Linked DNA regions of Coturnix japonica. The protein of the gene in region 1 interacts with the protein of each later gene in a biochemical or structural test. Links are inferred from orthologs where the notes say so. Each region holds a gene or a part of one and is shown in the gene's direction. Other genes may lie near its edges. The genes, in order: METTL22 and KIN.

The links.
Region 2: of the proteins of METTL22 (region 1) and KIN, one has a biochemical effect on the other in vitro, tested with the Homo sapiens proteins (2 studies listed by BioGRID). The link is inferred for Coturnix japonica from reciprocal best matches to the Homo sapiens genes METTL22 and KIN.

The regions. Positions count from the first base shown.
Region 1 is NC_029529.1:9,455,211-9,459,664, reverse strand, and holds the start of METTL22 (methyltransferase-like protein 22), read left to right. Parts: upstream 1-1,581; 5' UTR 1,582-2,293; intron 2,294-2,865; 5' UTR 2,866-3,044; coding exon 3,045-3,174; intron 3,175-3,624; coding exon 3,625-3,975; intron 3,976-4,346; coding exon 4,347-4,387; intron 4,388-4,454. Other genes in the region: TMEM114 (transmembrane protein 114), read right to left, coding at 283-466. UniProt on the Homo sapiens protein: Protein N-lysine methyltransferase. Trimethylates KIN at Lys-135 (in vitro).
Region 2 is NC_029516.1:3,681,152-3,684,967, reverse strand, and holds part of KIN (DNA/RNA-binding protein KIN17), read left to right. Parts: intron 1-821; coding exon 822-945; intron 946-1,471; coding exon 1,472-1,522; intron 1,523-1,657; coding exon 1,658-1,726; intron 1,727-2,738; coding exon 2,739-2,838; intron 2,839-3,816. UniProt on the Homo sapiens protein: Involved in DNA replication and the cellular response to DNA damage. May participate in DNA replication factories and create a bridge between DNA replication and repair mediated by high molecular weight complexes.

The DNA.
Region 1 (4,454 bases):
CCGCCCCTTAATTTCCCCTGTGCCAGATGAAATCTGATCTCTTCCCTTCTAACTGTTTAACGCTTATTCAATTGGTCTGAATTAAAAGTTAATGCCAAAGTACTTTGCGAGAGCAGCAAACTCGCTCTGCTCGTACCCAGTAGCAGGAGTCAGGCGTTGGGCATCCTCCGTGGATGGAGGGAGAGCCGGGTGGGGCGGGCAGCCCCCGGCTACGGACAGCAGAGAGGACAGCAACAGCACGGTAAGGGACCCACTCCCACCGCCCCCCACCGCCCCACTCACGCCGGCAGGTCCGCCAGAGCCCCGAGTGCGAGCTGAGCGCGGCAGTGCCATTGGCGGCCGTCTCCAGGCGGGAGGCATCGATGATGTACCAGAAGTCCGTCGCGATGGCCACCACGAGGAAAACGAAGCTGGAGGCTCCCACCAGAGCCACAAGCAGCGACAAGACACTCAGGCTCACCCTCATGCTGGACCGCGGTAGGAGATGCACACTGATGGGAAGGGTGGTGCGGGATGAAGCGATGCCCGCAGGCAGCAGCGCAGCTCCCGGGCGGTTCGCATGGGCGCTCCATAGGGAGTCTCATTCTGTTTGCTTGCTCAGATCTCATCCCAGGCTCCCCAGGGGAACGCTAAGTAACGCCCAGTCATTACACAGTCATTGTCTGCTCTCTTCTGGAGAAGAAAAATTCTATAATCAGAGTGTGAATGTTTCCGATAAACAAGCACAAAATAGTTAATGAAAAAGCAGTCAGTGTGGGTTCAGCTCTGCAATGCTGTCGGTGCCTTTAATTCGGTTTTCTTGCTGGTGAGACAAGCTTCCCCTGGGAAAAAAGTGGATATTCAGTAAGTATAGAGACACAGAAGCCAACAGCTGCACTTGCCCTTTTAACTTATAGTTCATTTACTCCTCTCGTGAACTTTTCAACCTCAGTGATTCAGGAATTTTCAACCTGTTGGCCAGGTGTCGTGTGCTTGGATAGCAAAACAAAGTTCTCCACTGATGGTTCATCTACATCAACAGCCTTTTTATTCATCCCAAGTTCAAAGCACTTTGCATAGCAGCGGATGCTAATCATAGTTTCCATTATTGCAGAAATACACGGTGCATTCAGAGCACTGCAATCAGATGAACCTCAGCTTATTGCTCTCACTTTTCATTCTGATTTAATGTGTCTGTAATAAAAAGAGCAGAATAACCTGAGCATCCAAGGGCACTGCGCTTAGGGCATTAGGCTCGAAACAATTAGTTCTAATTTAGTTCCCTGCTGTATGCAAAGAATACTAAGTCGTTTTGGTAAAGCAATTTAAACAGAGGCACTTGGTGCTGCCTGGACATGTGATTCCTAAAGGCTGTAACACTTTTGAGTGGAAGGGTAACCACTATCAGCCAGATCACAAATGGATTGGGAGGATAAATGGATGCCCCATCCTTGGAGGTGTTCAAGACCAGGTTGGACGGGGCCCTGGGCAACCTGATCTAGTAAATGTGTATGTTTGGTGGCCCTGCTAAGCAGGGGGGTTGGAACTACATGATCCTTGAGGTCCCTTCCAACCCAGGTCATTCTGTGATAAATATCTGTCAGTGTTGTAAGATATTAATTCAGTATGGCAATGTATGGCGATAGATATCAAAGTATTAAAAGAATGCATACATGTGTGCCCATAGCAGCACCTGCTCTGCGCTCAACAAGAGCAACAATCTGCCTGCACACACATAAAATATGTGAAAAACAAGATATTAAGCTGCTTTTTATTGTTACACTTAGTTCCTTGATGATCTCCTGTGGCCTTTCTGATAGCTGCTCTTTTAATCTGAAACCAAGAAATATCTTTTTTCCTTTGTCTATATCATTATAATGTGACCCAGAGCCATTGTTTTAAACCCCCGTTTTTATTACTGTTACAAAATAGATTGCTGTAGTGAGATTTTGGGCATAGGGAAAGGGTCAGTAAACACATTAGAGCAGCCACCGCAGGCTCTTCAGCTTCCATGCTACCTGTTCCAAAGCATCGGATCAGAACGTACTTTGAATTGAATATAATCAGCAACCAGAGTTTGGAGTATCTTTCAACAAAATGCAGTTATTTTAAGGTCTGATTGCAAAGCCAAGACTGTGAATGGGGAAATTAATCCTAAAGCTTATGAGTGTGCACTGAGGCGGCCCTTGAGGCCGGGGCCGCTCTGAGGGACGGATGGGCGGGACGGGCGCGTCAGCCGCGCGCCGGAAGGGGCTGCGGGCTCCAAGATGGCGGCTGTGTGTGTGTGAGGGGCCGCTCCGAGCTGTGCCTCTGGGTCAGTGCGTGTGAGGCGTAGCGTTGTCCTCACGGCTGCGGTGCCCTCGTGTTTAAAACGCGTTTCTCAGGATGTTCGGGGGAATAAATGTGGCTTTTTTGTGTGTGTGTGTGTGTCTGTAGAGGAAATTTTTGTCTGCGCCTTGGAGCCGCGGGCACGGGGCAGCGAGGAGGGTTGTTTGTTTTTGGGGAGAAAAATAGAGAACTCCTGGTGGGTGTGTGAGAGGAGCCAATTTATCTTCGGGAGGAGCCAGTATTAGTACAAAATATATGGAACTAAGCTGCATTCATGGCGTTGGTTTCTGAGGGAGCCTGTGCCCAGGCTGTGCTCTGCCCTCACCCACTGCAGGGCTGTGTCTGGGTGTTCTCTGCTTTGTCACGGGATGGTTGGTTGCTTTTAACACAAATTAATGAGCAGTGTGCCTTCCTGGAGCATGTAGTGTCCGGGTTGAACTGTAACTGTAGGAGCATTGTAAAAGGGAGCTCTGAAGCACTGTAGCTTTGTTGGTGTAACCTGGTTCCTCACCACAGGGTAGTGTTAGCGAGCTGAAAGCTGTCTGTGTTTGCTTGTAGGTTGGAGACCCCTACACACAACCTGGTATCTCATCAGGGCACGGTGGAGCTTATGTGACTGAGGCCTCAGATTCTGCACCCTGAGGTCGTGCTGAGCAGTCTCCATGGCGGCTGTGCTTCACAGCGGGCTGCCTGGTGATGGCAGCTGCCCCCATAGGTGTCCCTCTCACTGACGTACCATGGGAGACATCACGGAGAAGGAAATGGATAGTGGCACGTTCAAAAGCGACGCCGTCCTTTCTGATGTGCACTTGCACTGTCCCAACAAAAGTCATCTCATGGTACGACTGAATGCAGTTGGACAGCCAGGTAATGCATGTTTAGACTGATGGAGCTGTGTTTTAATTGCACTCTAATGTATTTGTATCGTCTTAACCCTCCTTTGAGGTCTGGGAAGGGGTGGATCTAATTATGACCTCAATCAGGCCAAAATCAGGTAATTAATGCTGTGGTACATTGTCATACTGCTTAGCATTCACTTGCTGTGACTCGACACAACCTTTCAACACAATAATATAACGATGTGTTTTATATAATCTGAGTGTCCATAGTCTTAAAAAATAAACAAATTTCCCATACCAGGGCTGGATTGTAGTATGACAGCTTTTACTCTAAAAAATCCAGCAGTGGTCTGCCACCATACACTTCGGTATGTGAAATGCACATCAAATGTCATGCAAGTGATGTTTGCATATAGAGTCTGTTCTTCCCTAGCATTGATCTTTAGCTTTACCCTCCTCCCACTCCTTGTTCTTGCAGTGTTCCTGTCATGTTTCAAACTCCTTTGGAACACAGATGATCAGGCCTCTGAGAAATACAGAGGAGAAACTACAACTGAAAGAGAACACCAGTACGGACGTGGAGATGAACTACCTAACGAGGACGGGATGAATCTGAAATGTGAAAAAGAATTGAATACTGAAGGAATAGAAGCTCTGCTGGATGAGGATGGAGACTTGGAAGTGGTCAGGAGGCCTCAAAGTGCCAGTGACTCAGAGGCAGAGGATCTTATGAGGGATAGAGTATATCCTGTAATTCTGATGAAAGGAAAAGCAAATGCTTTTGAAGATGAAGAACAAGAATGTACTTACAGCAGTGTTATTAAAATAGGTAAATAGTAGGCTTACGTTCAAGGAGAAATTGAATAAATAGGTGCTCAAGTAAAACAAAAGAAAACTGAGTTGGTCTTTTAATTGAAAGAGAACTTGGTAAGTCAAAGTAGATAGTAAACCATAATAATACTGTGATATTGTTAAGTGCTTTAAAAGCAGTTTTTCTTCAAAAGTGGACATTTGGATATTGTGGAGAAATGGTTTTCCTTAATTAGAATTGGGTTTTCACCATTATCCAGCATTACTGTGTAGAATTAATAGTGCTCAGTTCTAGATTTAAAAGGGAAGCATTAATTGGCTTTTCAAATTTACTATTATGGAACTTGATCTGAACCATGTTTGAAACAGTACTCTCTTCCATTTTCACAGAGCATACTATGGCAACCCCCTTAGAAGATGCTGGCAAACAAGTATGTATTGTGCCTTCTATTGTCTTGCTGCTTGTGTGTTGTGCTTTGGAATCTGTCTGGTTTAACT
Region 2 (3,816 bases), on another chromosome or scaffold:
TCTTGATCACAGTGCAGAAATAGGACCAAGAGACGATAGGACGTGACCACTAGGGTTGAGTTTGACTCTTTCATGGCTGGTCCACGTTGTTAGTTGTCATCCATAATTATAGTCAGACCCTTCTTTGCTGTTGTTGATCATAAACAGTGATCCCTGTGGATAGAATCTAAGCAGAGTAAACTTTTCTAAACTATGGGAGCTTGCATAATATGCTGTTTAGTTTTGCCTTCTGTAAACCAAAGATTTCAAGGTAAATCAGTCCTTTCTTGTACCCAGTTCTTTCTTGTGTCCTCTATTGATTGCACACCTGATCAGTGTTGATGGTCTCTCTTTGTCCCAGGGTCCTTAATACATATGTTAAATAAGATGCATTTTAATACTGACACCTGGGAATCCCATAGTAACCTCACAGGTTTTCCTTCTTTTAATGTAGGCTTTAATTATGTCCTAAGCTACAAGATAGCCCATTTTGCTTCATATATTTGAAATAAATATTTAAAACAAATGTGGAGATCTTACTTGCAGACTTGTTTTTGTCTTTACCACTTAAGTCCCTTAATCACCTCTTGGCTTTTGAACTGATGAACTGACCATTAGATTGTTTTTGTTCTGCTGGACATCTGGAGAACATGGAATTTTCACTTCAGTTCCAGCTGCCAAGCACAGTCTTAGAAAAGGAGTGATGTAAGGTCTGGAAGGTGACTTGCACAACTGAAATCAAATAGATCAATAGGCCTTTTTGTACAACCAGTTCTTCAAATGCATCTTGGTAGAGGAGACAATTTGAGGTCTGCTCTGAAACTGCCATCTTACTCTCCCAGCAGTGTCCTTGGACCAAGCGCACTGAAGATGGCGGAAGGAGCAGTTAAAAGAAAAGAATCAGCTCACAGCTCTGGTCAATCCAAAGAGAAGAAGAAGAAATCTGCACTGGATGAGATTATGGAGGTAACAGTTATGCAAGGATCTTTGTCTTTATAACCCCATGCTTGTAGCAGTGAGTCTACTTTGAAATGATCTCAGACCTTCAGTTCTTGTGGAATTCAGACTTCAATGTCATGTCGGGCAAAATTATATCACTTCCCATTTAAGATTGGTTTCTGCTTCTCATCTGTGCCTATTGCCTTGACAATCCAGATGTTGGAAGTAAAGGAATACAGATTTTGCAAGAGAAAAAAATACCTAGAATCGCTTGACAAAAATAAACATGAATCTCCCATCATTTTATCGTGGATTCATATATCATGAATCATACATCATGAGATCTGAGATATCATGATATCTCAGATATTATGAGATTTTATCAATCTCATCAGATTGATTTCTATGCTGAGAACACACACTCAGCAACCCTTCTTGGTTTTTTTTTCCCTACTTGGTATGGATCTGGATAATTTGTTCAGATTTTTGCAGGCATGGGAAGGCTGCAGTGAAGGGAGAAAACGAATGATGCTTATTTGTTCCTCTTCTGTAGCTTGAAGAAGAGAAGAAAAGAACATCTCGAACAGACTACTGGTTACAGCCAGTAAGTATCTTTAAACAATAACACTTACAGGTACAACCAATTCTGCATGTCTACACTTGCTTATGTAAAAGATCCTGCTTCTGTATTTTGGAACGTTAATCTTTATTTTTGTTTCCCTCCTTTCAAATTGTCTAGGAAATCATTGTAAAAATTGTCACGAAGAAGCTTGGAGAGAAGTATCACAAGAAGAAGGCAGTTGTTAAGGTAAAGTTTGCAAATGGAAGCATGTGGCTTTGGTTGGATTTTATGGTACCAGATGATTTCCAGAGTCAGAATTGTGCTCAGCCTTAAGTCTACATTGATAAGAGCAATAATGTAACTTTACTGGCACGTTCTTTGTGTGTATGCTTTTGTCCTGTACATCTTATCCTATTAACATATCCATAATGGGGAATAATCACTTTTTCAACGTGATGCGGTGTAGTTGTATTTTAAGTTGAGACTAATCAGTGTTGCACAAATATTCACTCTGCATACTGCCCTTTGAGCAAGATCCCATTTGTGTACAAAATCTTCACTCTGTAAGCCTTGTTATATGTTTAGAAGTGGTTTCTTTTAGCTGCTGCCAGTGAAATGATGTTGTAGTAGGTACTCCAAGGCTCAACAGTCTTTGGCAAGAGTGCAGAAGACAACATCTAGGTGTGTTTTGAATGGCTGACAGCAGCGTATGGAACTCAAAATCACAGCTTTTTTTTTGGCAAGAAGAGAAGGTTATGAGTCCCAGTGTCTGTCTTCCACTGAGCTGTAAATCTGGGAGTTTGGACATGCTGGGTGTAAAGATGATCAGTGACAGTTTTCCTCATTGAGAGGACTTATTCCAATTCTCCCTGTGTGACTTCAAGCCAGTTTATCCTCCCAAGAGGAAAAGAGGCCTCTAATTTACTCTCCGAATTTGAGAGGTAGCTAAGATAACTGATCTGAAGGTTGACAAAACCTCCAGACAGCACTAATAACATCAGTGGTCTTAATTTACAAAGGAGATTGGTTGTGGTTTTTTTAAGAGGAGCCCCTTTAATCTGGCCTTAACTTCAGAGTCGGGTCAGCCAGCACTTTGTGGAAGCTGGATGCCTTTAGGGCAGCTCATTCCTTTTGAAAATGTACAAGCATAGACTGAAGATCCTGAATTTGTTAATTTTGAAAATGTAAATTTAGAGAATTATTATAGAATTATTATATATTATTATAGTCACTGATTGGCCTCTTCTTTTCACAACAGGAGGTGATCGACAAATATACAGCAGTTGTGAAAATGATTGATTCTGGAGACAAACTGAAGCTTGATCAGACACACCTGGAAACTGTAATACCAGCACCAGGTATGGCTGTTTGTGTTCCTTACTTTTCAGCATAGCTGTCACAGCATAATTTAAGTTCTTTTAAACTGTAAAACATCCACTTGAAACTACCTTAACAGTAGCTGAACATTCAGGGTATCAATTAACAGAGGACTGTCTGCATAGAGAGAAATAAGATGTAGGATCTTGTGATTTTTCATCAGACATGCTACATTCTGCACCTTCAGCTGGTGAATAGCCATTTGATGGTGGAATAATGGTACAGTTGAGCTTTGCCCACACTTAGAATAGAACTGATGCCCTGTGGAACTGCTTATGTGAGATAAGAGGAAGAAAGAAGGCACACTGAGCAATTAGGATATGGAATAGGACATGAGGGAAGTGACTTTGACTTCTTTGACACTTTCCCACATGACATCCTGGTAGCCATATTGGAGAAAAATGGATTTGATGATGGGCTGCTCACTGGATAAGGGATTGGCTGAATGGCTGCTCGGAGAGTTGCAGTCAATGGCTCAGTGTCCAAGGAGAGACTGGTGATGAGTGGTATTCATATCTGTGCAGGGTCTGATGCTTTTTAACATCTTTGTGAACAGTATTGAGTATTGGTATTGAGTGCACCCTCAACAAGTTTGGACAGGCTGAGAGAACTTGTCTCTTCAACCTGGAGAAGAGAATACTCCAGGGGGGCTTTATAGTGGCCTTCCGGTACCTGAAGCTGTTCCCTACCGGTTCCCTACAGGGAAGCTGGAGAGGAACTTTTAGAATGGCAGGTAGAGACAGGATGAGGGGAAATGGCTTTAAACTGGAAGAGGGTAGATTTAGACTAGATATTAGGAAGAAATTCTTTACTGTGAGGGTGGTTAGACACTGGAACAGGTTGCCCAGTGAGGCTGTGGATGCCTCCTCCCTGGAAGTATTCAAGGCCAGGCTGGATGGGGCTTTGAGCAGCCTCTTCTGGAGGGAAATGTCCCTGCCTATATCAGGTGGTTGGATCTT